Schizosaccharomyces pombe: one gene and its partners. Changing the gene in region 1 together with any one later gene gives a genetic interaction. Each region holds a gene or a part of one and is shown in the gene's direction. Other genes may lie near its edges. The genes, in order: clp1, bgs1, myo2 and mid1.

The links.
Region 2: mutations in clp1 (region 1) and bgs1 impair growth when combined (synthetic growth defect), as found in Schizosaccharomyces pombe (2 studies listed by BioGRID).
Region 3: mutations in clp1 (region 1) and myo2 impair growth when combined (synthetic growth defect), as found in Schizosaccharomyces pombe (3 studies listed by BioGRID).
Region 4: of clp1 (region 1) and mid1, changing one enhances a phenotype caused by changing the other (phenotypic enhancement), as found in Schizosaccharomyces pombe (3 studies listed by BioGRID, with this or other methods).

The regions. Positions count from the first base shown.
Region 1 is NC_003424.3:4,767,544-4,773,321, reverse strand, and holds clp1 (Cdc14 family protein phosphatase Clp1), read left to right. Parts: upstream 1-1,605; 5' UTR 1,606-1,662; coding exon 1,663-1,711; exon of another isoform or gene 1,712-1,766; coding exon 1,767-3,331; downstream 3,332-5,778. Other genes in the region: box H/ACA snoRNP complex subunit Nhp2, read left to right, coding at 176-640; exonuclease Rex3, read left to right, coding at 3,793-5,415; qcr8 (ubiquinol-cytochrome-c reductase complex subunit 7), read right to left, coding at 5,597-5,611, 5,715-5,778. UniProt on the Schizosaccharomyces pombe protein: Protein phosphatase which antagonizes mitotic cyclin-dependent kinase cdc2, the inactivation of which is essential for exit from mitosis. To access its substrates, is released from nucleolar sequestration during mitosis.
Region 2 is NC_003423.3:2,350,514-2,360,141, reverse strand, and holds bgs1 (primary septum and spore wall linear 1,3-beta-glucan synthase catalytic subunit Bgs1), read left to right. Parts: upstream 1-2,777; 5' UTR 2,778-3,898; coding exon 3,899-9,088; 3' UTR 9,089-9,220; downstream 9,221-9,628. Other genes in the region: DNA-binding transcription factor, MADS-box Mbx1, read right to left, coding at 1-141, 214-297, 449-595, 663-713; SPOM_SPBC19G7.04 (protein-DNA covalent cross-linking repair protein), read right to left, coding at 9,376-9,628. UniProt on the Schizosaccharomyces pombe protein: Alternate catalytic subunit of the 1,3-beta-glucan synthase (GS) complex. Synthesizes 1,3-beta-glucan, a major structural component of the fungal cell wall. Required for the assembly of the division septum and maintenance of cell polarity.
Region 3 is NC_003421.2:1,232,731-1,241,755, reverse strand, and holds myo2 (myosin II heavy chain myo2), read left to right. Parts: upstream 1-3,519; 5' UTR 3,520-3,725; coding exon 3,726-8,306; 3' UTR 8,307-8,525; downstream 8,526-9,025. Other genes in the region: RhoGEF for Rho1, Rgf3, read left to right, coding at 1-2,371; Smc5-6 complex non-SMC MAGE family subunit Nse3, read right to left, coding at 8,585-9,025. UniProt on the Schizosaccharomyces pombe protein: Required for cell division. It is a component of the cdc12 'spot', a structure thought to mark the site of septation. May work in conjunction with myo3.
Region 4 is NC_003421.2:1,145,853-1,153,192, reverse strand, and holds mid1 (anillin-related medial ring protein Mid1), read left to right. Parts: upstream 1-2,757; 5' UTR 2,758-2,977; coding exon 2,978-5,740; 3' UTR 5,741-5,877; downstream 5,878-7,340. Other genes in the region: SPOM_SPCC4B3.13 (MatE family transporter), read left to right, coding at 1-950; protein Cwf20, read left to right, coding at 1,479-2,351; TIP41 type 2a phosphatase regulator Tip41, read left to right, coding at 6,052-6,810; ubiquinol cytochrome-c reductase assembly protein Cbp3, read left to right, coding at 7,286-7,340. UniProt on the Schizosaccharomyces pombe protein: Scaffold protein that anchors the contractile ring (CR) at the cell equator during cytokinesis.

The DNA.
Region 1 (5,778 bases):
CGTGGAATAGTAGGCATTATGTCAATTTAAGGAATATTACCAAAGCTGGTATCTTAAAATTACGTATTATACAGATGGCTTAACAGACTATTATCCGCTACATAGCGTTACTGAAAAAAGTTTTATTGGGATCATCTTTTGGGCTTCCAAACTTATCCTTCTCCATTTCTTTATCATGGCAAAAGATAAAAAAGACCATAAGCATAGTGGAAGCACCGAAGATGAGTATGATTCATATCTTCCTGCTTTAATGCCAATTGCTAAGCCTTTAGCTCCTAAAAAATTGAACAAAAAAATGATGAAGACTGTCAAGAAGGCTTCGAAGCAGAAACACATCCTTCGTGGGGTCAAAGAGGTTGTAAAGGCTGTTAGAAAAGGAGAGAAGGGTCTTGTAATTCTTGCTGGTGATATTTCTCCCATGGATGTTATATCTCATATTCCAGTATTATGTGAAGACAATAATGTCCCTTACTTATATACTGTTTCCAAAGAGTTGCTTGGTGAAGCATCAAACACCAAGAGACCTACTAGCTGTGTTATGATTGTTCCCGGTGGAAAAAAGAAGGACATGTCTAAAGTTGAGGAGTACAAGGAAAGCTACGAGGAAATTATAAAAGAAGTACCTGCTCTTGAAGTTTAATTGTTCAATATCTAAAAGATGCTTAGCCATTTAATGTAGATTATTATATACTATTAAAATTTGGTATTTATCCTGGGATTTAACTTTTGGTATATCATGTCTGTTTGCTTGATAGTAAGCGAAAAGAAGTTTTGCTTAATGGTCGGTTTTAAGGTTTCAAAAAATTTCCTTTTTAATCTAGTGTTTTATCATTCTTTCTTATGCCCTAGTATTTTATGGGTTTAGACTGGTTTGCGAGCAAACTAATCACTATACCTCCAAAACTTTGTTAGCAATAATATCGTATCATTTACCAACTTATATGAGAATGGTATATCGCTGTAACAGCGATGAAATATCAACTGATTTTTCCTCAAATTTCGTTTACGCTGATCGTTTCATTACGGATTTAGCCTGTGTTTATTTCTAACTAGTTGCGCAAAAAAGTTTTATTATTCGTTTAGGTTGCTATTTAGTATTCAGAGGCGGCGTGTTAGAACCAGTTTACAACTAACTTAAATTTCACCCAACGTCGTTCTTACCATTATAATGTTTACAAATATTATGCTTTCCAGTGCTATCCATAAATGATAGATTAGGGTAGCTTTAAAGGTCCGGCAATTATATGGTTATCTATCCGGATTTTGTTATCGGATTTAAATATATTTGCTAAAACAAATCGAATTTCAGATAAAAAAGTTGGGTTGTATTTGTATGAGCAAAAAGTATTCTGTATGTTTATCATAAATTGATGTGCATTTTTACTTACTTTGTAAGATAATGATTATTGTTGTTTATTTACTATAGTGTTGCTAAAAGTTAATGTCTTTTTTTTTTTAATAAAGAGAAAAGATTAAATGTCAACATAACGTTGTGTATAGTTTAGAATCCACTTTTGTCTTCATTTGTTTCGCACCCCACATATTTTCTTGTGCATTATCATCCCTTCTATTTACAAGGACCACCAACACCCAGGTACACAATTTAGAACTCAACCATTACGGGTTTGACGAATATAGACGAGATTCGCAATTACTTGTCTGATGGATTACCAAGATGATGGGCTTGGTGAAATGATTGAGTTTTTGGAGGGTATGCATGAAGTTTAACTCAAATATCTCGTAAAATTGATTAACATGTTAAATAGACAAGTTATACTACACATCATTGTCGCAACCACCTAAAGCCGAGTTATATCCTCATATGCATTTTTTTACTATCGATGATGAATTGATCTACAACCCTTTTTATCATGACTTTGGTCCGCTGAACGTGAGTCATCTTATTAGATTTGCAGTGATAGTTCATGGTATCATGGGAAAACACAGACAAGCTAAGAAAAGCAAGGCTATAGTTTTATATTCTTCTACAGATACAAGGTTGCGTGCAAATGCCGCTTGTTTGTTAGCTTGCTACATGGTGTTAGTACAAAACTGGCCTCCACATCTCGCATTAGCCCCTTTAGCTCAGGCAGAACCTCCTTTTTTGGGGTTTAGAGATGCGGGATATGCTGTTTCAGATTACTATATCACGATTCAAGATTGTGTTTACGGACTGTGGAGAGCACGAGAGAGCAGCATACTAAATATACGTAATATCGATGTTCATGACTATGAAACTTATGAAAGAGTGGAGAATGGAGATTTTAATTGGATATCTCCTAAGTTTATAGCATTTGCAAGTCCTATTCAGGCTGGTTGGAATCATGCGAGCACACGTCCAAAGAAACTTCCTCAACCGTTTGCGATAGTTCTCGATTATTTCGTCGCTAATAAGGTCAAACTGATAGTTAGGCTTAATGGACCTCTTTACGATAAAAAGACTTTTGAAAATGTTGGAATTCGACATAAAGAGATGTATTTTGAGGATGGCACAGTTCCAGAGCTTTCTCTTGTCAAAGAGTTTATTGACCTTACCGAGGAAGTAGAAGAAGACGGTGTGATTGCTGTTCATTGCAAAGCAGGGCTCGGACGTACTGGATGCTTAATTGGCGCATATTTAATATACAAACATTGTTTTACTGCTAATGAAGTTATTGCTTACATGAGAATAATGCGTCCTGGAATGGTTGTAGGTCCACAACAGCATTGGTTACATATTAATCAAGTTCATTTCCGTGCATATTTTTACGAAAAGGCGATGGGAAGAGCAATCCAACAGGCCACCGCTGCGGAACCCTTAGCTACTCCTCCTCGCCATCCATTGAATGCTACGAATGGTACCTCTCAAAGCAATATCAGTACTCCTCTTCCAGAACCAACGCCTGGCCAACCGAGAAAAGTTTCTGGACATAATCCACCGTCGGCGAGACGTCTCCCTTCAGCGTCCTCTGTCAAATTTAATGAGAAACTTAAAAATGCTTCCAAGCAATCAATCCAAAATGAGAACAAAGCGTCATACAGTAGTTACGAAGATTCAGAAATACAAAATGATGATGAAACACGGACTGTTGGAACTCCAACTGAAACAATTTCAGTGGTTCGCTTGCGTCGCTCATCAAGTCAAAGCAATATCGAACCAAATGGAGTTCGTTCTCCGACATCCTCACCAACTGGTAGTCCAATTCGACGTACAAGTGGAAATAGGTGGTCTAGTGGGTCTAGTCATTCTAAAAAAAGTGCTCAGCGAAGTGTTAGCATGTCATCACTTAACAATACTTCTAATGGCCGTGTTGCTAAACCTAAGCCTTCTAAAAGCCGGCTAATTTCTTAATAAACCTGTAATTACTGGTTTAAATGGCAGTTTTTACATTCCTTTTTTTCATATAAACTAACTTTGAATTATACTGTGTCAACCCTGCATAATTTTTCATTAATTAACTTTACAAATATTCCCTGATTTAGCGCACCTTTGCGCGGTGGGGATCACCACCATTAATGTCTTAGCTATCCTTTTTGTTAACTAACATTCATATTTCTTTGGAAAAAACTTTGGCTTTTTGCAAGCCATGGTTAATGATTTTAATCGAGAAATTGTTTTGGTTATGATATAAAAAGTCTTTGTTTTTTATTACGAATTTCAAGATTTCGCCATTCTATTTTTGGCTGAAGAGGTTCTTTCGCGGGTGCATGGTATCTTTGTTCGTAGCGGTACATTTTATTATATTTTGCTTGAGAATTTTTATCTAAATTCCCAACGGAAATCTGCCTACTTGTTGTACCTAATTTGCTTCAATGTTTTCACCTTTGGGTCAGTTTAAGCACATAGTTTGTCCATTTCTACGAACTGGACGCAAATGTCAGTCTAGGAATTGTTTCTTTAGTCATGACTTTCAAAACTCAACAAAGATTTCACCACCTTATTCCGAAAATGTTGAAGGGTACCCAAAAGTTAAAATTGAAAAATCACTTCCTTACAAATACGATAATTGTAAACTGTCTATTTGTGTTCCAATAGTTACGACCTGTATCCCTTATCATTCGGTTGAAAATCTTAATTTCAACATTAGGCAAAATATATCCACCACTTTAAATTTGGAGAAGACAAATGATTCCATTAAAGAAACCAAGAATGAGAATTTTCGTATGGACGTACTAGAAACTTACAAATGCAAGCAGTTGAATCATCAAACGACGCATCTACCTACAAATACTGTATTAAAAAAGCGTTCTTTATTTAATGATGCCATTTCCATCGTTCCTAATAAGAAGAAGCAACTTGTATCAGCCATTAGTACTAATTCAGATTCTCAAGGAGCGTCTTCCAATATCATTCCTACTCCTAAATATGACTCCAACTCACCAGCTGGGCATGAACTGAGAAAACGAATGACACATTTGTTATATGAGTCTTACAAGGATTTAGGCTATTCCAATGCAGAAAGTAGTATGCTTGCTCTTCTCGATGAAAAAAATATTTGTGAAACTGCAAACAGTAAAATGATATACAGTTCCTCCTGCAAGTCTAAAATTTTATCTCTTAAGAAAGCTCCGAAGAAAAATGAAATACAAGGATCAACTCCTGATGAGAAACTTGAGTCACTTGTTCATTCGGAAGAAGAATTGATTCTATGGGGATATAATATTGGAGACGTTGCACCAGTAAACCCGCCAGATGAACTTCGTGAATGCGATCGATGTGGTACACGGTTTGCGGATCCTCGAGGACCATGTACATATCATTGGGGAAAACTGTTTCGTGAAAAGCAAGGGGGGGAGAAGATTCGTACATACACTTGCTGTGGTGTAAAAGAGGGCGATTCGTCTGGTTGTATTATAGAAGACAACCATGTGTTCAAATACCGACATCTTCCGTATCTTGCTAGCGTTCATCCATTTTCCTACTTACCAGACAGTACAAATAGCAAGCAATTAAGTCATTGCGCGTTAGATTGTGAACTATGCTACACTACGAACGGGATGGAATTGGCTCGTTTGACGGTGGTAGCAAAGGAAAGCATTATTATGGATGTGTTTATAAAGCCTAAAGGCAAAATTTTGAGTCTCAATACTCGATTTAGCGGGATACATGATGCCAAAGAATTAGAATCAGGAATTACCATGGATCAAATGTATATTAAAATAAAGGAACTTGGCATGAATAAAAATACAATTTTAATAGGACATGGTTTAGAAAACGATTTGAATGCGATGAGGCTTATTCACAAACGTGTCATAGATACTGCTCTTCTATTTACGCATGCCAGAGGCCCGCCGTTTAGATATTCCTTAAAATATTTGACTAAAAAATATCTGGGAACAACAATACAAACTTCTACACACGATAGCGAAGAAGACGCTGTTTCAGCATTACAACTTGTCTTTTATAAGACAAAATCAAATGAAAGTCAAAACTAAGAGTAATAATGTTTTCAAATTCAAGAGATAGATCATATCACAAAGTAATTTTGTTGGATATATAGATTTCTGATACTAAGCATAATGAGAGGAGAGAGATAGTAATTGTAAACCCAATAAGGAAAGGGTAGGGAAGAATTTTGTAAATCCTTCTACCAAAATGAATACTTCATTCTCATCATTATTCCTCCACCAACTAAACCACATATTAGTAAAATGACAATTATTGACACAATTTAGAAGTATAGAAAAATGCTGCAAACCATAGCTGCTTATCGATTCTTCAGTCATTAACTTACGTGTCTTCCATGTTTGGAATTGAGGAATTCATTACGCTCCTTCCCCCAACAGTAAATATAGTAA
Region 2 (9,628 bases), on another chromosome or scaffold:
AAAGTCATTTTCACTGTCGGTAGCAGAAGAGCAATTATTAGAAGGTTGAGCACTGTATGTGGTAACAGAAGCAATCCGCTTATCTTTAGGTCTCCAATTATGAAGGGATTCATCAGATGGTATATTAGGATTTATGTTTCTCTTTCTCCCCAAGGGATTATGTTAGTAAACAGAATACAGGACAAGCATAATGATTGCTGATAAGTGACTTACCAGAGGGTCAACCGTGACAAAGTCCTTGTTCAGGAATTTTTGCAGCAAGGCATCTCTTTGCTCTTCCGGTTCCTCAGAAGAATACTAAAGAGGTGTATGTTAATATTAAAAACTTGTAAAAACATTGCCACGTTTTCTGGTTGTTGACCTTCATCACCTTCCCTATAATGTATTCACTTTACATTGAAAGGATATGACAGAAAAGGATCAGAAAAACGGGAAATATGAAACATACAACGTGACAAGCATTTTTAGAATCAAAAATCATGACCACCACTTTAGCATCACACAAAACGGAGAGTTCATGTGCTTTTTTTATCAAGCCAAGTCGTCGACGATTAAAAGTAAGAGCCTTATTTTTTGCATCGGAAATACGCTGTATCTAAATGGTACGTTAGCGAGGAGAAAAGGGGTGTATGAATGGAACCAAACCACTATGTAGCACATACAGAACGGCGAGGAGATGAAGGAGCAGTACTAGGAGGAGGATTAATATCCATAGTTAGAGTCCAAATATTTAGGTAATAATATAAATAAGAAGTAGAAAAAGAGCGACAATTAAGAACCAAAATAGTAAAAAAACAACAAAAAAAGGATTAAAAATTAAACCAATTGACTAAATCAACCGAGGAAATTCAGTGAAGTCTAGAAATAAAAATTAGGAGAAAAGGGAGAAGGAAAAAAGGGCGCAAAGAAAGTGAGAGTTTCGACTATTCTTATATTCTTGTTTCGTGATTATTGACAGTGTAATAAAAATCAAAATTAAGGGAAGGCAAAGACGCATGCAAGGAAGTGCAAAACTTAAAGGTTGAAATACAAAATATGATTATCCGCTAGATTCACTTGAATGTATCAGCTTGACTTGAAATGCAGCAAAACAGTAATGGGTACCAAAATGGGATATAATCTAAAGGGATAAGAATACAAGGAAAATGTCGTTAACGTTTTGGGTAGACGAATGAAAAAACCTTTTAATGTAGAAAAAAGAGATAACTTTGGAAGAATTTTAAAAAAGCAGGCAAATATTAGGATATCATTCAATCGGCTCCTATGACTTGAAGTCTAACCCAATACTAAATGTGCAAAAAAAAATAAGGAAGCCGATCACCAAAATAAATGGAAACCAAATAAAAAAAAGCCAAGGATGAAATTCAAAATATTCAATTTGAGACTTTCAAAATGTAAACAAAGCGACAATAACGGCAATGTAAAGTTTGCGGAGACAAAAAATTTCACCTTTGAATATAAATAGAAACACTGAATAGGCAGTACGGAAAAAAATTTTTCTTAAATCAACCCCAGACTTGAACCAAAATATAAAAAATGTGAAATTTGGATGAAAAAGAAGCGTATACAGCGTATCAGGAACGTATAGTTTGTAGGAAAAAACGCTGGATTTATCCTTTTCAAAATCTCGTGGTAAATGTACTGAGCCTTTCTATAAAGCCCACCCAAGCCCTGTAAGGTACCGGACGAAAAAAGTCTCGCTACAGGGGGTTAAGATGATAAGAAAGGCTAGGGTGCTAGATTATTTATCTAATAAGGTAGTGTAAAGAAGTAAAACAAACTAGAGAAGTAGAAAATATAGGAATTAATGAAATGGAGAAAATGAAAAGAGCAGAAGGTGCGACAATAGAAATAGTTGTAGTCAAATGATTGTAAGAAGTTGTTTAAGTGTGACAACTAAATAGTCATCAAAGATTTAAAAGAATATCGCTGTAATAGTCGATTGATAGATAAAAATATTTACAGGATGTGTTTGTTTTTGGGGTATTCGTAAGGGAAATTGCCCAATCCAAGTCTTAACCAGAATATGGAATGGAAACCTTTTCCAATGCCGGCACATTGTTTCTTCCTTTGGATTAACCAATTGCTTTTAAATTCGTACTCGGTTGTCTTTTCATCTTCTTTAGATCCTAACCAGATTTGTTAGCATTCAAATCCGTACTTTTCCCACGCATTCAATACCCAGACATTGTGCGTCTATGATTTTCCCAATTTTCGGGATTTGCGAAAAAAGCCCAATGCCTAGTTCTCTTCATAAGCTCTATACTGTAATAATCATACCTTTGCTAATTGGGATTCGGTACCTTCTAGCTTTGTATTATTTTTACTATTGTTTACCACCCATGTAGACAATCACATATTAGAAATTAGTTTAACAATTCCAAAAAAAAAGAACACTCGTCGCTTATGTTCACTGTAACTGAATTATGGTTTCAGCTACACTTTCTTGACTTTTTGTAGTTTGTTTACTTCTTTTCCAATTCAAATATAGCGTCCTTAGTTTGGTTAAAAGTATCCATCTAAAACGGTAGCTGGGTATAACGATTGATAAGATGCTACACAGTAGCTGCTTATAAATTCTTTCTTTGTTTGACCGGCTATGGCTTTGCTTTGTATGGGGATGGTTTTTTAAGCCTCCTTGTGCCTCGTTGGTGAGTAACCTGAGCCTCCTACCACGCCAGCCTCTAAATTGCTTACACTAAAATAGGCCTCAATAATGTGCACTACCCTTCCCCATTTCGCTGTTAGTTTTGAAAGAACCGGAATGAGTACAACTTGCAGACAACAAACTAGGAACTGGTGGGTTTTGGCTATTTTCACCGTTCTCTTAGTGGAATTACTCTAAAATTTTTGAAAATATATTGATTAATTAGAGTAAATTATCCTTTTTAACGTCAAATTTTTGATTCTGTTGCACGGAATTAATTTTTTCTTCCTTCTTATATATCTATCATTGGTTCCTTCTTTTCTTTTTCCTCTCTTTTTTCCTATTAGCCTCCATACAAAAAGGTTGACTCCATCTTAACATTTGCCAAGTTTTCTTGTGTGATATTATCTTTACGTTAGTTGCTCCATCACTGCTAAGTTTTCGGTGTGTGCAAGATCACCTTTTGTCGTAGCATTGTGTTTGTGTGGACGTTTGGCGTTTGTCCCGGGTTCCTCTTACCCTTTCGCTTCTCTTTTCCTTCCATTTTCCCATCTCCATTTACTTTTTTTTCGCTTTGAGAGATTGTAAATAAGCTTCTGCATACGACAATTTAATTGTTCAATCTAAAGTTTATGTGGAAAGCGATTTTATATTTTCTCCTTTTCTTTTAAAAAAACGTCCTTCCTTGAATCGCTTTTTTAAAAATTTGGTCAGTTTCCTAGGTGTGCATTTGTAAGTACTTCTTTTGGTGCTTGCTGTTTTATGGTATTATTATTGTTGTTTTTATAATTATTTCTTCTTTTTTTTCGCCTCTTTTTTTATAATTTGCATACTGTATTTTTAGGTTCCGTTCATTCCCTTTTGAACCTCCGATATCTTAACTACTCTTTCACTTCGTGATCCCACCCTTTTTCCTACTTTTAGAGCTTTTTCCGCCGTCTTCTCTCATCCGGCATACATATATCACCCTTTTTTCTTCTTTTTAGGATTTGAAAAAGTCTTTTACTTTTTTCATTTCAATCAGCACAAATTTTTTTCTCTTCTACTCTTTTGCCCCCATTTTCCAAGGCTTAACTTCTTTCTTTTTAATCTTTTTTTCAAGGTCTCTTAAATTTATTTCTTTCTTTTGAACATCGTTCCTCATTTGCTAGCATTCTTTCTCACAAATTCCAACTTTTCTTTCTTTCAATTCTTCTTAATTTAAGCATTAAAATTTGTCCTCTCTCCTTCTTTTGAGTCTATTTATTCATCATGGATCAGTATTGGCGTGAACAAGAGGGTCGTGGACTCTTTGAAGATGATGCCAATAGTTATGTCTCTGACGATGATACTATGAGCTCTCTGACCCGTATGATTTACGATAAAAACTCTTCTCGTGATGCATTACATTCTGATTATGATAGCTCTTCATTTAATGTCGATTCCAGTTCAGTTGCTTATCCGGCTTGGAATCAAGCTGGTGAAGAGGCTCCTGTTACTATGGAAGGTGTTCAAGAGATCTTGTTGGACCTTACAAATAAACTTGGTTTTCAAAAAGATAACATGCGTAACATTTTTGATTATGTTATGGTTCTTTTAGATTCTCGGGCATCTCGTATGTCTCCTTCCTCGGCACTGCTTACTATCCATGCCGATGTCATTGGTGGTGAACATGCAAATTTTTCAAAGTGGTACTTTGCTTCTCATTTTAATGACGGTCATGCCATTGGATTTCACGATATGTCTTCCCCAATTGTCGAAACAATGACTTTGAAAGAAGCTGAACAGGCATGGAGAGATCAAATGGCAGCATTTTCACCCCATCGCATGATGGTGCAGGTGTGCCTTTATTTTCTTTGCTGGGGTGAAGCTAACAATGTTCGTTTTGTTCCCGAGTGTCTTTGTTTTATATTTGAATGTGCTTATGATTATTATATCTCTTCGGAAGCTAAAGATGTCGATGCTGCTTTGCCCAAGGAATTTTATTTAGACTCGGTTATCACCCCTATTTATCGATTTATTCATGCACAGCTGTTTGAAATTTTGGACGGCAAATACGTCAGACGAGAAAGAGATCATTCTCAAATCATTGGCTATGATGATATTAATCAATTGTTTTGGTCCTACAAGGGCCTTCAGGAAATCATGTGTGCTGATAAAACTCCGTTGTTAGATTTACCACCGTTTATGCGATATCGACATCTTTCCGATGTTGAATGGAAATCATGTTTTTATAAGTCCTATTACGAGTATCGTTCTTGGTTCCATAACGTTACCAATTTCTCACGTATTTGGGTAATGCATATATCTGCTTACTGGTATTATTCGGCTTATAATTCCCCAAATTTGTACACCAAAAATTATCACATCCGCTTGAATAATAAACCTCCTGCTTCTTGTCGTTGGACAGCTTGTGGTTTAGCTGGTGCTATAGCTTCTTTTATCACCTTGGCAGCTGTGGTTTTCGAATATATACATGTTCCTCGTCGTTATCATTCTGCCAGAAGGTTGTGGCCGAGTATGCTGTTATTGATAAGTACGCTACTTCTAAACATCGCACCTGTTGTTTTCATATTTGCTTCGTCTACGAAAGAGCAGCATTATGCTTCTCGATTGGTTGTAGGAATTGTGCATTTCTTTTTCTCGTTGGTCTGTGTAGTTTACTATTCGATTACGCCGTTACGAAATTTGGTTGGTTTCACCACAAAAAGGTCTGGAAAAAACCTTGCTAACAGATTTTTCACCGCCAATTTCACTCCGACCTCAAAAACAGGTGCTTTCGTTTCTTGGTGTCTTTGGATTACAGTTTTGGTGGCCAAATTCTTGGAATCTTATTTCTTTTTAACTTTGAATTTGGCAGATTCTATCAGATTTTTGGGTGCTATGCGACCTTATGACTGCCGTGATTACATTTTAGGAGCTGGACTATGCAAGGCTCAGCCTAAAATTCTCTTGAGTTTACTGTATTTAACTGATCTTTCTCTGTTTTTCCTTGATACTTATCTATGGTACATTCTTATCAGCACTATCTATTCTTTGGCTTATGCTTTTTGCCTGGGTATCAGTGTGTGGACTCCTTGGAGAGAATTGTTTTACCGCGTTCCCAGAAGAATATATACAAAACTGTTGTATACCGATGACATGGAGATTGTCTTCAAGCCAAAAGTACTTATTTCTCAAGTTTGGAATGCCATTATTATCTCGATGTACAGGGAGCATTTGATTTCCCGTACCCAAATTCAGGAGTTGTTGTACCATCAAGTACCTTCTGAAAAGGCAGGCTATCATACTCTTAGAGCTCCCAACTTTTTCTACTCCCAACAGGTTAAGCATTATAAGCAAGATTTGTTTCCGGCTAATTCAGAAGCTGCTCGAAGAATCTCCTTTTTCGCACAATCCTTGGCTGAATCAATACCCAAGACTAGTTCCATTGATGCCATGCCTACCTTCACTGTTTTGGTTCCTCACTATTCTGAGAAAATTTTGTTATCTTTAAGAGAGATTATTCGCGAGGAAGATCAACTTTCTCGCGTAACTCTATTAGAGTACTTGAAGCAGCTATATCCTGTGGAGTGGAGAAATTTTGTTGATGATACAAAATTACTTGCTGATGAAAATGATTCTGTTATTGGCAGTATCGACAATGAAAAAAATGGAGTAAATAAAGCATATGACCTTCCTTTCTATTGTGTTGGATTTAAATCTGCGACTCCGGAGTATACTTTGAGAACAAGAATTTGGGCCTCTCTGAGAACTCAAACTTTGTATCGCACTATCAACGGTTTCAGTAACTATAGTCGTGCCATCAAACTGTTATACAGAACGGAAACACCAGAATTGGTCGAATGGACAAATGGTGACCCTGTGCGATTAGATGAAGAATTGGATTTAATGGCAAACAGGAAGTTCCGATTCTGTGTCTCCATGCAGCGGTATGCTAAGTTTACCAAAGAAGAAGCCGAAAATGCAGAATTTTTATTAAGAGCGTATCCAGACTTGCAAATTGCATATATGGATGAAGATCCTCAATCTCGACATAATGACGAGCGCCATCTTTATTCTGTACTGATTGACGGTCATTGCCCCATTATGGAAAATGGAAAGCGTCGACCCAAATATCGTATTCGTCTATCTGGTAACCCAATTTTGGGTGACGGTAAATCTGATAATCAAAATATGTCTATTCCTTACATTAGAGGTGAATATGTACAAATGATCGATGCCAACCAGGATAATTATTTGGAAGAATGTCTAAAGATTCGTAGCATTCTTGCTGAATTTGAGCAACTTACTCCTCCCTTACATAGCCCTTACTCGGTAAATGCCAAAGCTGCTGACAATCATCCCGTAGCTATTCTCGGTGCTAGAGAATACATTTTTTCAGAAAATACAGGTATGCTTGGAGATGTAGCTGCTGGAAAGGAACAAACATTTGGTACTCTTTTCGCTCGTATTTTATCGTTGATTGGTGGAAAATTGCATTACGGACATCCTGATTTTATTAATGTTTTGTTTATGATTACTCGTGGCGGCGTTTCAAAAGCACAAAAAGGTCTGCATGTTAATGAAGATATTTATGCAGGTATGATTGCTCTTCAACGTGGAGGACGTATTAAGCATTGTGATTACTATCAATGTGGTAAGGGTCGTGACTTGGGTTTTGGCTCAATTCTTAACTTTACTACGAAAATTGGAACGGGTATGGCGGAACAAATGCTTTCAAGAGAATATTTCAACCTTGGCACACAATTACCGTTTGATAGGTTTTTGTCATTTTTCTATGCCCACGCTGGATTTCACGTCAATAACATGGTCATCATGTTTTCTTTACAGTTATTGATGCTTGTTATTATTAATTTGGGAGCAATGTACACTGTTGTTCCGGTTTGTAGATACCGCCAATTTGACTCCTTGACAGCTTCTTTGTACCCTGAAGGTTGTTATCAATTAAAACCAGTTCTCGAGTGGTTGAAGCGTTGTATTTTGTCTATTTTCATTGTCTTTGGTATTGCTTTTGTTCCACTTGCTGTTTGTGAATTAGGGGAACGCGGTGCCATCCGAATGGTTATTCGTTTAGCGAAACAAATATTCTCTCTATCTCCTATTTTTGAAATTTTCACATGCCAAATATATGCGCAGAGTTTAATTGCAAATCTTACGTTTGGTGGTGCACGCTATATTGGTACTAGCAGAGGTTTTGCTACTGTTCGTGTGCCGTTCTCACTATTGTATTCTCGATTCTCTGGACCATCACTTTATTTTGGGTCACGACTTATGTACATGTTATTGTTTGGTTCAATTACTGCTTGGTTGCCGCATTATATTTACTTTTGGATTACGCTGACTGCTCTTTGCATTAGTCCATTCCTTTACAATCCCCATCAATTCGCCTGGACCGATTTCTTTGTTGATTATCGTGAGTTTATGCGCTGGCTATTCCGCGAAAATTCACGCAATCAAGCAAATTCATGGATTGGCAACTGTCAACTTTGCCGTACCAGAGTAACTGGGTATAAACGTAAAATATATGGTAAGAAGGCAGATAAAATTGCTATGGATTCCCCGCGTGCGAGAATTACTACAATGTTTTATGGTGAAATATTAGGGCCTCTAGGAACACTATTTTTCACGTGTATTCCATTTCTCTTTATCAATTCCCAACCTGGTAACGATGATGAGACCCAATCTACTAATGCTTTTATTCGCTTGATTATTATGTCAGTTGCTCCTTTGGTTTTAAGTGCAATTATTGCTTTTTTCTTTTTCTGTTTAGGAATCATGTTACGTCCTATTCTCGGCGATAGATCTAAAACGTATGGTGTATATTTGGCTGGAGTGGCCCATTTCCTTTTTGTGTGTGTTGATGTTGTTGTCTTTGAAGTATTGGGCTATTTGGAAGGTTGGTCATTTTCAAAAACTTTACTTGGATTTGTAGCAATCATTTCAATTCACAGGTTTGCTCATAAATTTTTTATCATATGTTTCCTGTCTCGAGAATTTCGTCATGATGGTGCCAATTTAGCTTGGTGGTCTGGACGTTGGAATGGCCAAGGTTTTGGATATATGGTTTTAACGCAACCATGGAGAGAATTTGTGTGTAAAACTACAGAGTTGAATATGTTTGCTGGTGATTTCCTTTTAAGTCATCTTTTGTTGTTTTTGCAAGCGCCTGTTATTTTGATTCCTTATATCGACAAACTTCACTCGATCATATTATTCTGGCTTGTGCCCAGCAGACAAATTCGACCCCCAATTTATACCATAAGACAAAACAAACTTCGTCGTCAAATAGTTCTTCGCTATGCCACTTTGTACTTTTCATTGTTTATTGCCTTTTTTGTTCTTTTAATTTTGCCTTTTGTGTTTGGTAAATCAGCTGCTGGAACTTCAATGGATAAATTTAATCTGATTCAGCCAGCGACAAAGATTGTTTATTCTTCAACAAAGAATTCTTCTGTCTAAAGCATTTTATTTTTTTTTAAAGGATTTGTGTGATGTGGATGCTTATTTCTCATTAGAAATGCTCTCAATTAGGGTAAATAATAATTATTATATTTGCATTTTGTTAAATAAAAAATGACTTGAGTGTTGATTAAGTATCTAGTACTTGAGAATATATTATCTAAATAAGTAATGAAGAACGATTGATGGTTAGAGCAAACACAAACTTAATGTCTGTTACATGAGAAAAAATTATTGGTGCACCGTCTGCCCGTAATGTGATATTGATTATGTTATTACGTTCACATTTACAAATCGCTTGAAGAGATAAGGCTAACGGATTTTGAAACGTTTTGTTTAGCATCTTTAGTACGGTGGTACTCATCTGAAAGTTTCTTCATAAGTTCCTTGTGAGTGATGTGTGGGTGTAGCTTTCGTAGTCTCTTAGAATTCTCCTTTAAAAAAATTTGAAATGCATTGGGCTGTTTTATTTTGGGGCAAATTTGTTTAATTTGTGATTTGCATAACCTACAAACTTGTTTCTGTGGATTGATGGATTTT
Region 3 (9,025 bases), on another chromosome or scaffold:
CCTAGCTGAACTGTTTAGGGACGGAATTGTGCAGCAGCAAGATGCGATTGTTCCCAGCAATCGAGTGGCTGACTTTATTCAATCTGTATTTGGAAATGTTGAATCAATCAGACAATTGCATTCTCGACTGTTCTTACCACAATTAATTATGAGGGAACGTCTCCAGGGCCCAGTAGTTTCAATTATTGGTGATATCTTACTAGAGTGGATTCATGCTGCTAAATCCTCTTATATTAATTATGCCAAACAGTTCCCTTTAGCAGATGAAACTTATAAGCTAGAATGTCAAAGGAATACTTACTTTGCACGTTGGCTTGCTGCTTGTCGATCAGATCCTAGATGTCGTCGGTTGGATTTCCAGCATTTCTTGCAAAGACCTACTCAACGTTTACAAAGATACACGCTTGAGTTGGATACAATTTTAAAGCATACCGAGCAGTCCAGCTGGGATTTTCAATTAATAACTCAAGCTGTCAAAGAACTGAGAGCAACTTGCGAGGAATGTGATGCCGTTATAGCTACCGTACTTGAGGCCAATCGTATTCGCGATCTATCGTATCAACTTCTGTTTAAAAATCATGAAAGTGTCAATCTAGAGCTAAGGGATCCTGAAAGAGAGTTCTTTTTTGAAGGAATAGTTCAACGTAGAAGTGATTCCCGCTTGGATTGGTTGGACATCCACTTGTTTTTGCTCGATAATTACTTGATCATGGCCAAAGCAAGAAAAGACAAACGAACAAATGCTTCAAGATATGTTGTTTCAAAAAGGCCAATACCATTAGATTTGCTTGTTCTAAGCCCTAAAATGGACGATTTTCAACTTAAATCAAACACTAATAAATTTCTTGGCAGTTTAGCTGGCAATTTACCACAGGAATCTCTTACCACTAAGAGTAAAAGGAAGAGTAAGGTGAATCTTGAACTAATGTTCGATGCCACTGCTGAAAAGAATAACGAAAACTCAATGAACTCTGCTGTATTTGAGAAGTCTCAACTTTACCCCTTCACAATAAGGCACCTTGGTGCTTACACCGCTAGTTATACACTCTACGTTGAGTCACTTCAGCTTCGTAAACTCTGGGTTGAAAAAATTAATGTCGCAAAAAAACGACACTCTCAGAAGATAAATATTAAGAATCCGTTTGCATTGAAAGTTGTATCTGACGTTGCCTTTCAGTACCCTCCTTCCGACTTAGTTAATGGAAATGAACCATTAAACAGCTTTAATGAAATTACTTTGGTTGAAGGCTCTTCGATTGATCGCGCACTCAATGAGGTAGCGTGGAAACACCCAATTGTAAGTGAGGAGCTTTTGCCAGAGCCTATTGCCTATGGCGATATAAGTTGTATTGCCCAGTTTAATGACTACGAAGGTCATGTCTCGGTTTTGATTGCTACATCTACCGGTATCTTTTTAGGCGCATTTGGTGATTCCAGTGACATTCGCGATTGGAAAAAGATCTCTAGTCAAAGACGCGTTACCCAGCTTGGAGTTGTTGAGGAATTTGATATCCTATTAGAGCTACGTGACAAAACCCTTTATGCTCATAAATTAAGTCGTATTATTGAAATGGGTCTGATCGAATCCAAAATTGCAGTTGTCATTGGAACTCCGCATGCCGTATCATTCTTTAAAATAGGTAAATTGTCTGAGGGGGCTTCTGTTAAACGTGAGCGAACTTTGGTTTTTTATAAAGAGGGACTCGGTAATACTACAACCATAATTTGCTGTGAACCAGTGATCGGCTTAGGACATAACTATCAGAAAACATATGCCTTCAAGAGAAAAGATGTTACTTCCTTCAGAACTCTGGATGATTTTCACGTAACGGCTAACTGTCATTCAATTGATTGCTTTAAGTATTCAATTGCTCTTTGTCACAATAAAGGCATTGACGTTCTGCGTTTGGACCCTAAATTAGCAGTTGGTTTTCCAAGCCCTTCAGTGCTTAATGATACGTTGTTTCGGAACCGAATCAACAACAGTAAGCCGCTTGGCGTCTTTCGCATCCACGATCCTAGCTTATTTGCATGCTGCTATCAATTCGGTGCCGTGTTTGTCAATGGAGAGGGTAGTATGGTTAATAAAGAGTGTTGGTTTGATTGGATTGGCAAACCGAACTCTGTTACCAGCTGTCATGGATATCTCATTGCATTTAATGATGAATTTGTCGAAATATGGAACACGCGAACTAGGAAACTTAATCAAATTATCCAAGGAAATGACATTAAATACTACCCTAGTAACAGTGATTGGCTAGCCAATGGGAAATATATAATGTTTGGCATGGTTCATCCTCAGTATCACGATCGCCATTTGATACTCGCTTTAAATAAGGCAAAAACAAACTCCTTCATAATTGAAGATTGATAATTATCATATTTATTACAAGTTTTCTTGCCATGATTGTCTTTTTTACTCATCCATACTTTTGAATATCGGAAACGTTTATCTTATTTTGTTTTACGGAACATCCTGCATCTTTCGAATCATATTTTATCGCAGCCTTGAAATTTTATTTCTTCTTTTTTTTTTTTTTTACATTTCCCTACCCATTTTATCACAAAGGAATATTAAAATCTGCATGCATTAACATTTTTTAATTACTTAAAATGATCGCTACTATCATTATGTTCAGTGTTAAGCCAAAATTGGCTTATTGTACAAGTTGCATAAACTTGCCGACTACAGTTGATGAAAACAGAGAACATTGTTGTTTTTTTACGTAACTGGTTATGGTATTCTGCATGTTTTGATCATAAGTTTAAAGATGTGGTTACACATTGAAGCACCATGCTTTCTTTCAAACACTAACTGAAGCAACTAACATTTCTGTATATTTACTTATTGATTATTACCAGGGCCATAGCTGTAGATGGTCAGTAAGCACATAATAATTACTGATTGCGATTATTAGCTAGAGCGTGTTCTTATAATTATTCAGTAAGAGGCATGATTAGAGTGCTATATATAAAATGTAGATAAATAAATGCCGAGTTTAGTTATTTGCTTTAAAAGTTGTGTTCGGTACGATGAGGAACATATTATTTGCGTATCTAGTCACAAATTACTCATATATCTGTAATAGCGGGAGTTTTTTATACAATCATTTTACCTAAAAGCACGGGGGAACATGAAATTTCGATTAAACCGTAACCCCTAATCCTACGTTCATTTGATGTTTTGAGTATTAGTACAATGTATTTTCAATTATTACTTAATATCTTCAATCTTGATGAAAGTAAAGCTTTAAAAATTTGTCAGGACTTTAATTGCAAAAGACCGAGTATATAATGACCTCCATCTATTAATATTATTTCTTTTAAAAGATATATATACCTTCTTAATTGTGATATTAAAATCATTATGTTATAGGAATGTTTCTGGATGCTACCTTAACCTATACTAAATGTTTTAACGCAAATATGATCAAGTACATAAACGTTCGATTAACGCATGCGTTAATCGAATGTTCAAGTGCTTAAATCATTAATTGCTGTGCGTTCAACGGGGAGTACAAAAAGTATCCAACAACATAGTTCTTTAACGTTTTCTCTGTGCATTTGTTGATCCTTCTTTTCGGATATATCTATTGCTATCTTTTTGGATTTTTTCACTCTTTGATTTTTGGTCTATCCTTATTGTTTTACAAGGTTTTGGTATTGTACACCGCATTGTTTATTTTCAGGAAAGGCGGTAAATAACCGTCTTAGAGAGTAGCCCGATGACAGAAGTAATATCTAATAAAATAACTGCAAAAGATGGTGCAACTAGTCTGAAGGATATTGATGATAAACGATGGGTTTGGATTTCCGACCCAGAGACTGCCTTTACCAAGGCTTGGATTAAAGAGGATCTGCCAGACAAGAAATATGTTGTTCGGTATAATAATTCCAGGGATGAGAAGATCGTTGGTGAGGATGAAATTGATCCGGTGAATCCTGCCAAGTTTGATAGAGTCAATGACATGGCTGAGTTGACATACTTAAACGAGCCTGCAGTCACATACAATCTTGAACAGAGATATCTCTCTGATCAAATTTATACCTATTCTGGGCTCTTTCTCGTTGCGGTCAATCCTTATTGTGGACTACCAATCTATACGAAGGACATCATTCAATTGTACAAAGATAAAACACAAGAGCGCAAGCTACCTCATGTCTTCGCAATCGCGGATTTAGCATACAATAACCTTTTAGAAAATAAGGAAAATCAATCGATTCTTGTAACTGGTGAGTCCGGCGCAGGTAAAACAGAGAATACCAAAAGAATCATCCAATATCTTGCAGCAATTGCTAGCTCGACTACCGTTGGCTCTAGTCAGGTTGAAGAGCAGATCATTAAAACGAATCCTGTGCTCGAATCATTTGGTAATGCTCGTACCGTACGCAACAACAATTCTTCTCGTTTTGGAAAATTCATTAAAGTTGAGTTTTCTTTGAGTGGGGAAATTTCGAATGCCGCCATAGAATGGTATCTTCTTGAAAAATCTCGCGTTGTTCATCAGAACGAGTTTGAAAGAAACTACCATGTTTTTTATCAGCTTTTAAGTGGTGCTGATACTGCTCTCAAGAACAAACTTCTTTTAACCGATAACTGTAATGATTATCGATATTTGAAGGATTCGGTTCACATTATTGATGGAGTTGACGATAAAGAAGAGTTTAAAACTCTTTTAGCTGCTTTTAAAACTCTTGGATTTGACGATAAAGAGAACTTTGATTTATTTAATATACTTTCCATTATTCTACATATGGGAAATATTGATGTCGGTGCTGATCGCTCTGGTATAGCTCGTCTTCTCAATCCTGATGAGATTGACAAGCTCTGTCATTTGCTTGGTGTGTCTCCGGAGTTATTTTCACAAAATCTTGTTCGACCTCGTATTAAAGCAGGCCATGAATGGGTTATCAGCGCTCGAAGTCAAACTCAAGTCATTTCGTCCATTGAAGCATTAGCAAAAGCCATATACGAAAGGAATTTTGGATGGCTGGTAAAGCGACTTAACACTTCCTTGAACCATTCCAATGCCCAAAGCTACTTTATTGGTATTTTAGATATCGCCGGTTTCGAAATCTTTGAGAAAAACAGTTTTGAACAACTTTGCATTAATTACACAAATGAAAAGTTGCAACAATTCTTTAACCATCACATGTTCGTATTGGAGCAAGAAGAATATATGAAAGAAGAAATTGTATGGGATTTCATTGATTTTGGACATGATTTACAGCCGACTATTGATTTAATCGAGAAAGCAAACCCAATAGGTATTCTTTCATGTTTGGATGAAGAATGTGTTATGCCGAAAGCAACTGATGCTACGTTTACTTCTAAACTTGATGCTCTTTGGAGGAACAAGTCGCTAAAATATAAACCTTTTAAGTTTGCCGATCAAGGTTTTATTTTGACTCATTATGCCGCTGATGTTCCTTACAGTACAGAAGGTTGGCTGGAGAAGAACACCGATCCTTTGAATGAAAACGTTGCTAAGTTGCTTGCGCAATCTACTAACAAGCATGTCGCTACACTATTTTCTGATTATCAGGAAACTGAGACTAAAACTGTTAGGGGAAGGACGAAAAAGGGCCTTTTTCGAACTGTTGCTCAAAGGCATAAAGAGCAGCTCAATCAGCTTATGAATCAATTTAACTCGACCCAACCTCACTTTATTCGTTGTATTGTTCCAAACGAAGAAAAGAAAATGCACACCTTTAATAGACCCCTCGTTTTAGGACAACTTCGATGTAATGGTGTTTTGGAAGGAATCAGAATCACAAGGGCTGGTTTTCCTAACCGTTTACCATTTAATGATTTTAGAGTCAGATATGAGATAATGGCGCATTTACCAACAGGTACCTATGTGGAATCTCGACGTGCTTCTGTCATGATTTTGGAGGAGTTGAAAATTGACGAAGCATCTTATCGAATTGGTGTTTCAAAAATATTTTTCAAAGCAGGTGTTTTAGCAGAATTAGAGGAGAGGCGCGTAGCGACTTTACAAAGACTGATGACTATGCTACAAACAAGGATCCGTGGCTTTCTTCAAAGAAAAATTTTTCAAAAGCGATTGAAGGACATACAAGCCATCAAATTACTACAAGCAAATTTGCAAGTGTACAATGAATTTAGAACTTTTCCTTGGGCTAAGTTATTTTTCAATCTAAGGCCCTTATTAAGTAGTACTCAAAATGATAAGCAGCTTAAAAAGCGAGATGCTGAAATCATAGAGCTGAAGTACGAGCTGAAAAAACAACAGAATTCAAAATCTGAGGTAGAGCGTGATCTCGTCGAGACCAACAATTCTTTAACTGCTGTTGAAAATTTGCTTACTACTGAACGTGCGATAGCCCTTGATAAGGAGGAAATATTACGTCGAACACAGGAAAGGCTTGCAAACATAGAAGATTCGTTTAGCGAAACAAAACAGCAAAATGAAAATTTGCAACGAGAGTCAGCGTCATTGAAACAGATTAATAACGAATTAGAAAGTGAGTTACTAGAAAAAACTTCCAAGGTTGAGACTTTGTTATCAGAACAGAACGAACTGAAAGAAAAACTGAGTTTGGAAGAGAAGGATTTGCTAGATACAAAGGGAGAACTTGAGTCTTTACGTGAGAACAATGCAACTGTTTTATCAGAAAAAGCAGAGTTCAATGAACAATGTAAAAGTTTACAGGAAACTATCGTTACCAAGGATGCTGAACTTGATAAACTCACTAAATATATTTCTGACTATAAAACTGAAATTCAAGAAATGAGACTGACAAATCAGAAGATGAATGAAAAGAGTATTCAGCAGGAAGGTTCTTTATCTGAGAGTCTCAAACGAGTCAAAAAATTAGAACGTGAAAATTCTACTCTTATAAGCGACGTCTCTATTTTAAAACAGCAGAAAGAAGAGTTAAGCGTCTTGAAAGGAGTGCAAGAGTTAACAATAAATAACTTAGAAGAGAAGGTTAATTATTTGGAAGCCGATGTCAAACAGCTTCCGAAATTGAAGAAAGAACTAGAATCCTTGAATGACAAAGATCAACTTTATCAGCTCCAGGCTACCAAAAATAAAGAACTGGAAGCCAAAGTTAAAGAATGTTTAAATAACATCAAATCGTTAACGAAAGAGCTTGAAAATAAGGAAGAGAAATGCCAAAATTTGTCAGATGCTTCTTTAAAGTACATTGAATTGCAAGAAATCCATGAGAATTTACTTCTTAAAGTTAGCGACTTGGAGAATTACAAGAAAAAATATGAAGGACTTCAGCTGGACTTGGAGGGGTTAAAAGACGTCGATACAAACTTTCAGGAACTTTCGAAAAAACATCGTGATTTGACCTTTAATCATGAAAGTCTTCTTCGGCAATCGGCGTCCTACAAGGAAAAGCTTTCGTTGGCGAGCTCCGAGAATAAAGATCTCTCTAATAAGGTATCGAGTTTGACGAAGCAAGTAAATGAACTTTCTCCAAAAGCATCTAAGGTTCCCGAACTTGAGAGGAAGATTACTAACTTAATGCACGAGTACAGTCAACTCGGTAAGACCTTTGAAGATGAAAAGCGTAAAGCATTGATAGCTAGTCGAGATAACGAAGAATTACGCTCTTTGAAATCAGAGTTGGAGAGTAAACGAAAGCTTGAAGTTGAGTATCAAAAGGTACTAGAAGAAGTAAAAACAACTAGAAGCCTCCGTTCGGAAGTCACCCTTTTAAGGAACAAAGTTGCTGATCATGAAAGTATACGTAGTAAGCTTTCAGAAGTAGAAATGAAGCTGGTTGATACTCGAAAGGAACTGAATTCTGCTCTTGATTCCTGCAAGAAGCGAGAGGCAGAGATACATCGCCTTAAAGAACATAGACCGTCCGGAAAGGAGAATAATATACCGGCTGTCAAAACTACGGAACCCGTTTTGAAAAATATTCCACAACGAAAGACAATTTTTGATTTACAGCAAAGAAATGCAAATCAAGCGTTATACGAGAACTTGAAACGAGACTACGACCGTCTTAATCTTGAGAAGCACAACTTAGAGAAGCAAGTTAATGAGTTAAAAGGGGCCGAAGTATCACCTCAACCTACTGGCCAATCTTTGCAACATGTCAACTTGGCTCATGCTATTGAATTGAAAGCTCTGAAGGATCAAATAAATAGCGAAAAGGCAAAAATGTTTTCCGTTCAAGTACAATATGAAAAACGTGAGCAGGAGTTACAAAAACGAATTGCTTCTTTGGAAAAAGTGAACAAAGATTCGTTAATAGATGTGAGAGCTTTACGAGATCGCATTGCAAGCCTTGAAGATGAGTTGCGCGCCGCATGAAGTTAAATGATTTTGTAATGATGAAACCTTTATTAATTATATTATATATACTGACATATACTTCTCTTATAAGTTTACGAGCTATTTTTTTATTTTTTTTATTTAACAGCTGTACATAATATTCCCGCTATATAACCAAATATACATCTTAAATTTATATCGAGATATTAGCACGCATATAGGAACTTAAATAATATTACGAATTTTTTTGTAGTAGCGGAGTAAGTATACAATAGCATTAACATGAGACGAGCATAATGTAAAAACCTAAGAGTCATCTATGCTGCACTTGAGGAAGATTGATTCTGATACTCCTGCCGATATTCGGTTAATAGAGCATCCATATCAATGTCTGAATCCGGAAAGAACTCTGTAACGAATGATTTCAAGCCTTCAATAGAAATTTCAGTTACTGCACGGGATCCAATATAATAAACAAACTGGTTATGGGTATCATCTTTCACTCTATCTAAATACCCTTGGCGAACTAAAAGAGATAACGAGCGAGTAATATCCAGATGCAAAGGGGTTGTTTCTTCCTCTGTTAGAAGTTCCTGCAAAAAAGATTGCAGTTCTGAATGTCCTACACTGCAATGAGAAACGGCTATGAATGCGATCACAGTCATCAAAAATCCATAATAAGCAGTATCCAATACCGAATCTACAATTAAGCGAGAATCCTTTTGAAGTTCCATAGGAAGGGTAGACCTCAACACCCA
Region 4 (7,340 bases), on another chromosome or scaffold:
TGTTGGCTAGTCCGGCATACGCATTATTTGAAGCACTAAAACGTTTCCTTCAGGTGCAAGGTATATTTCATCCTGTAACATACATTTTAGCAATTGTTGTACCTATTAATATTTTTCTTAATTACCTTTTTGTGTGGAGTCCCTGGGTTGGTTTCGGTTTTCTAGGTGCACCGGTCGCTGTAGCATTAACGCTATGGAGTGCTTGTGCTGTTCTAATTATCTATATTATGAAGGTAAACGGACGACAAGCATGGGGAGGTTTTAGTAGAGAAGCATTAAAAAATTGGGGCCCGTTATGTCGATTGGCTGTTCCTGGTGTAATTATGATTTGCAGTGAGTACTGGGCTTTTGAACTCGTTACTTTCGCATCGGGCGTGTTGGGTACCACTGAATTAGCCTCTATGTCTGTTTTGTCTACTACCTCGACCCTTTCTTATAATTTGGCTTTCGGTGTCGCTGCTGCAGCTGCCACAAGAGTAGGAAATTTAATTGGTGCTGGAAATACGAAACTCGCTAAGCTAGCTACGCACGTTTCTATCAATTTAGGTGCTGCAATTGGTGTTATCATTGCTGTAATCCTTTTTTTAACTCGCAACACATGGACTTACATTTTTACGTCTGATAAAGATGTCGTCGCATTGGTTGCAACTATCATTCCCCTTGTTGCACTCATTAATATTGCCGATAATACACAATGTGTAGCTGGAGGCCTTCTTCGGGGACAAGGAAGACAAAGGATTGGTGGGGTAGTAAATTTCATCGCATATTATTTATTGGGTTTGCCTGTTGCCATAATCCTTTGCTTCAAGCTAGATTGGGGGCTGTACGGTTTATGGATTGGAATTGGAGCTGCAATTCTAATTATTGCTGGAGTAGAAACTTGGTGCTCATTGCATGTCAATTGGGACCATTTAGTTGAACTTGCTAATCGTCAGTTTGATGAGGCTTAAAAGTTGATACGGACAAGTTAATGATTATTTAAATATGTATTGTGGTTTGTCATAAATTGATATATTTGAAGAGATATGTTCGGTTTATGATACCATGGTTACGACTACTAACAGTTGATTGATAAAAGTATTCGAGTCGGTACTTTTTCCAGTCTTCAAGATTTGGCCATGTTTTGGCCTATCCTAAAAATTAAGTTTACGAAAATTGCAGTGCTTTAAACTCTCATATTTATGAAGCTTATAAAAGTAAATTAAATTAATGGTAATTTGGAATCTTTTTGGGTGATTAATATATAAAATACCACATATGCTAGCTAGCAACGTTGGGCGGTAGCATTCAATTAAATATTATTTCTTTTTAAGACTTACTTAAAGAATTAATTTAAGTTTGAATAAATATGTAAATCATCTTGCAGATGCGAGTATATTAATTGCCATAAATAATTCTGTTCGCAGTGAGAATAGTTACCGAGTACAAATCGCTCGCTCAGAATTATTAAACGACTTAATATCAAAAGTTAATAAAATATGTCTCTGGTTTCATATCCTCGATCAGAATCCGAAAGCGATATTGAAGAAGAAACACCATTAGCTTCTAAAAGTTTCGATCCTACTTTGTTTCAGCATGCGCGCAGAAAATTGTCGGTTGACAGCACTAAAAAGTCACCTAAACGCCTGAAACGGCAAGTTGATTTACAGAAATCTTCTTTTAATGATAAAACTTTTAATGAATCTGATGTTATCTCTAATGAACGATTTAAATCTAATGATTTACTTGAACTTTTGCCTGCCCCAAAAAATCAAGCTGAATTAGCTCCAAAGTCATCTAAAAGATCGGACCTTGATTTAAATGAAAACTATTTATTACCTAATAACTCTGTAAGCGATTTAACCTCTACTGGATCCTCCGAAACTGTCAAGAAATCAACGTATTCAGAAAAGTCTGGTAACGTTTCGTTATTTAATATCGTAGGATCAGAGTCAAAGCAAGCCTCTTTAGTAGATTCCGATCAGAAACCTTACCAACCAATTTTGATAAAACCTAAAGCTAGAGCAAATCCTCCGAAATTGAGGAATCAACCCGAGAACGATTTCATTTCTATTGCTAATCACTCAGTACATTCAAATGCAGAGGACATAAACATTATCAATGAAGATTACATTGAAATTGGACGCCACCGAAAAGAGAAGGGACGAATTATAGACGTTGATATCAACAAACTTCCAAAACCGACCCAAGAAGCATTGCCAAGCGCCCCTACTATTAAAAGTGTTGCACCTGGTCGTCATCAACTGTCTTCTCTTGTTGAAATGGCTATCAGTCAAAAAGACAACTTTGAAGCTTATTTTGAGCAGCAACGATCAAACAAAAAGGCATCTTCTCAAAAGTATGGGTTTTAGCTTTAAGTAAATGTTACGCCCCGATAGTTAGTTTTAGGTTTTAACTGCTCGTGTATTTGTAAATTAAAAGCTGTTTATCAACAGATTCATTTTATGTATTTTTTTTTAGTTTCTGCGAAAATAGCAGACAACAAAATATGATTTTACTTATTTTATTTTACATACTAATGACTTTATTCATCGCTATTCATAAGCATACTGATAATACAATATTATCTTTGCAAGTATGTCCCAGCTATAATTCATATTTGCAATGCAACTAGCCTTTTTTTGTTAATTTTAAAAAGGAAACTTGGCTTTAATCTTCGATTTATGGTATATCCAGAGTTTGAATTGTTTAACCATATAATCAGTGTTCTCACTGGGACTACCACTTATCATAGCGTCTACCGATTTTGTGTGACCTATGCCTACTCCACATGACTGAGGTGAAGAAGGATTTCAATAAATTATAAGAGGTTTTCGTGCTTTTAGCATCAATTTTAATAGAATTTGAATTAATATTTGCTATAAAGAAGAAGGCTCGTCTTTTGTTGTACTTCAGGGTGCTTATATGATACTGTGTCCACATTTTAACACTCGATAAGGTATTATAGTCTGTAAAGTCTAATTAAGCTATCCTGACGATGAAAGAGCAAGAGTTCTCATATAGAGAAGCAAAAGATGTGTCTCTTGACTCTAAAGGCTTAGAAAACAGTTTTCTTTCTTCTCCAAATCGAGAAAAAACACCCCTTTTTTTTGAGGGTAACAGTAATGAAACCTCGGGATATGATCAAACAAAAAACTTTACACATGGAGATGGCGATATGTCCCTTGGAAACCTTTCGGAACTAAACGTTGCGACAGATCTTTTAGAGTCACTTGATTTAAGAAGCATGTATATGCATGGCTATGGGCACCTCGATTCATCTTTTTCTTCTCAACATAGTCCTGATAATCGTAAAAGAATGAGTAGTACATCAGTGTTTAAGAGGATTAATTCCGAGGAAGAAGGTCGCATTCCTAGTTTGACGTACTCGGCAGGAACTATGAACTCGACAAGTTCTTCTACTGCGTCTTTGAAAGGTGCTGATATTGTTGCAGATTATGAAACATTTAATCCGGATCAAAATTTAGCTGAATTATCCTTTGACCGCTCCAAATCGTCTCGCAAGAGGGCGGTAGAAGTAGCAGAATTTAGTCGAGCTAAGACAATGTCTCCGTTGGAATACACTGTTCAACATCCATATCAATCCCATAATGAACTGTCTACAAACCCAGCCCGAGCAAGAGCTGGAAGCGTTCCCAACTTGGCTCGCATACCATCTGATGTCAAGCCCGTACCTCCAGCACATCTATCTGCATCTTCTACTGTAGGTCCAAGGATTCTTCCTAGTCTTCCCAAAGATACCACAGAGGACAATCCAGCGTTGGAAAGGGTCGAAACGACGGCGTCTCTCGATATGGATTATAAACCTTTAGAACCTTTAGCTCCCATTCAGGAAGCCCCTGTTGAAGATACTTCAGAGCCTTTTTCTTCAGTCCCAGAGGCCACCTTAGACGACTCAGATATCTCTACAGAAAGTCTTCGTAAAAAGGTTTTGGCCAAGATGGAAGCAAAACGGATTTCCAGTGGATCTTCCTATGCTAGTACACTTAGGAAAGTTTATGATTTCTCTGAGCTTTCCCTTCCCACCAACGGTAAAGACTATGATGAGTTATACCTTCAATCTTCCCGTAATTCAGAACCTGAGATTTCTACTATTATCAATGATTCTTTACAACAGGAAAATATGGATGAGGATATTAGTGCCACTTCAATTCCGAAATCTCAGGCCGCCTATGGTCATGGATCTGTAACGTATCATGAAGTCCCCAGATACAATCTAACTTCTGCTTCCGTGGGATATAGTATATCTAGTCAACGTGGTCGTATAAAAAGCAGTTCTACCATTGACAATTTGAGTGCTATTTTAAGCTCTGAAGATTTACGTCACCCATCAATGCAACCCGTACCAGGAACGAAGCGTACTTATAGTAATTATTGTGAAAATGAGCCAAACAAGTCTAGCCAAAGTTTAGTCAGTTCTGAGTCCCATAACGTCGAAGGATGGAATTATTCGGAAACTGGTACAGTAGGTTTTTACGACCCTAGTGCCGAGATATCCGCCAGCATTGATGAACTTAGGCAGTCTACGCCTGTAGCCAGAGATAGCGAACTTTTAAGTCGTGCACATTCCTTTGATTTGAATCGCCTTGATCTTCCAAGTCAGGATAAGAGTACGTCTTACGAAGTCCCGAATGGTACTGAAAATCAATCACCACGTCCTGTTACTTCTCTTGGATTTGTGAATGAAACATTTTTTGAAGAGAAACCAAAGGCGCCCTTGCCACTTGGTCGCTTTTATATACATTTGAACAGCATTTTGAATATTTCGATAAGTGAAGTCCATTCACCTATCAAGATAATAGTTAATACGCCTACGCAAAATATGCAGCTTCCTTGGCAAGCTGTTAATGGGAATAATAGGTTGGACCATGATTTTGCTTTTCATGTTGACGATAACTTTAAAGTGAGTTTTATGTTTCTTGACATCCCTATTGAGGACAAGTCCAACGGTTCGAAAGGAGTATCTGCTACAAAAGACGTTTCAAACGGTAAGCCTGCTGAAACGAAATCCAAAGCTAGGAAATTTTTTGACAAGCTTTTCAACCGACGCAAAAAGAGAAAACTCAACAAGGCTGCTGCAGTTGAGAATTCAAAGGCTAAGAAGTCAGTGGTTATCAAGAAAGTCTCGGGTACTGCTACGTTAAATTTGGGTAATGTCAAAGACAGTTGTTTTGGAAAGGCTTTCAACGTAGAAATACCCATCATTTCCAGAGGCTTCTTGGAAGCGATTCCTGTAAAAATAAACTCTATAGGGAAACGTACACTTGGTAATCTAACTTTGACTTGTTTGTATATTCCTGAGCTTTCGGTTCCAGAGCAGGAATTGCCATTTACCTTAGAACAAGCTACGATGGACTTGCGACACGTTAGAAGTAACTATCTATATAATGAGGGATACTTGTATAGATTGGAAGATTCATCTATTCGAAGACGTTTTGTCGTTTTACGCTCAAAGCAGCTGAATTTTTATGCTGAAAAAGGTGGGCAATATTTGGATACTTTTCAGCTTTCTAAGACAGTAGTTTCAATCCCAATGGTAAATTTTTCAGAGGCAGTTTCAAACCTCGGTCTAGTAGCTGGAATATTGGCTACATCTGTTGATAGAAGGCATGTTCAGTTGTTTGCGGACTCTAAAAAGGTTTGCCAAAAATGGCTTCAGGTGATGAATTCACGCTCGTTTGCTCTAGATAGGGGTACTGAGAAATTATGGTTACAAGAATACGTGAATTTTATGGCTTAATATCTGAATTTATGAATACTAATCGTCTTAATGTATTTTTTGAATAATTTTTACTTATCGGATTTACTAAATGAGGGAGTTGAACTGAAATTATATAACTACTGAATTAATACTTATAGATCATTTTTCATTTTTAATCTGAATAATTAATCAACTTTTGGTTTTTTGAATATACTCTATAATGAGTAAAGTAATATAAAGGTGTTTTGTGTTGGCTAAATTTACATTACCTATATTTTGCCGTACGCACTCTAAATTGTTACAATAATATAGGGGTCAAGCAACTACTCAAATCACATTATTTAAAGGAGATGCAAAAACAAGATGATTTTTCATTTAAATATTGGACTATCAAAGTCCAACGGGGGTCAATTTTAAAAAGCCATGAGATGGAGAACCTTCAAAGTACATTGGGTTTTCCACCTCCTGAGATGACCTTTGGGAATAATTACATCTCAATTGAATACAAGAATCAGCCTGTAGTTGGATTTTTTACTGAAGATGCTCTTAAAATGGTTGGTACCAAACCTGAAGATGTAATGCAAGTTTCTTTTGCAAAAGACTGGGCCAAATCCAGAATTAAGCCCGGAGAAGAATACCCTGTGATTTACCCATTTGATTGGACTTATTATACTGATTATCAGGGAACTATACAACGTCCAAATGCAAAATTCATTGAAATTGATCAGGTAATACCTGTTCAAAAAATACTTAACGCAGGACAAAATTTATGGTTCAATGAGATAATTCTTTTCGAAGATGAGTTAGCAGATAATGGAAAATCAATGTTTGATGTGAGAGCTCGAGTTGTTCAGGGTCATTTAATATTGTTAGCACGCCTTGTCGTACGTTTAGACAAGGTAAATGTTCGATTGAATGAGACGAGGATATATATTGATTTGTTGAATGATTTTCTCTTGAAGGACTGCCGTAAAAAGCAAGCTACTTACGACAAAATTATTAAACAAATACCTGTGGGGGGAGACAAAGCTGCATTGCTAGATGATAACAATTGGTTAAGTGAGCGCCTTGATACCGTTGACCATAAAATCTATAAATTGAATTTTTGATGCTAAAATGATTCGCTAATGGCAGACATGAGAATTTAGAACTTTTGTCAACGAATGAGTGTTGAAGCAATTTACAAGTTTATTACGTTTAGTTCATGGTAATATTTATAATCATTTTCAACTAAGAGGTTATTAATTTAGGTTTTCTAATTGAGAAAGCAAAATAAATAGATACAATCTTTGGTACGATTAAACGGCGAAGATATACTACTGAAACTGCAAACAAATTTAAAATGGTCCAGTAAATTTTAGAGTATACTTAATTAGGAAGAATGATGGCCTCGTAATATTGATCGTTCGTTATAACATTGTATTTGGCAATCAACCTGTCACAACCTCTCTTCCCCTTTATATTGTACGACATTAATCGATCCGTTTTTTATTTCAACCCAACTCCTACGTATTTATTTGCAGGTAATAATTAATTTTATTAATTAAGAAAAGATTATCAAAAGATCCTTATCGTCATTCAGTAATGAGTCGCTGCTGTTTAAATTTGCCATTGAGACCAGCATTTGTTAAGCAGCCGG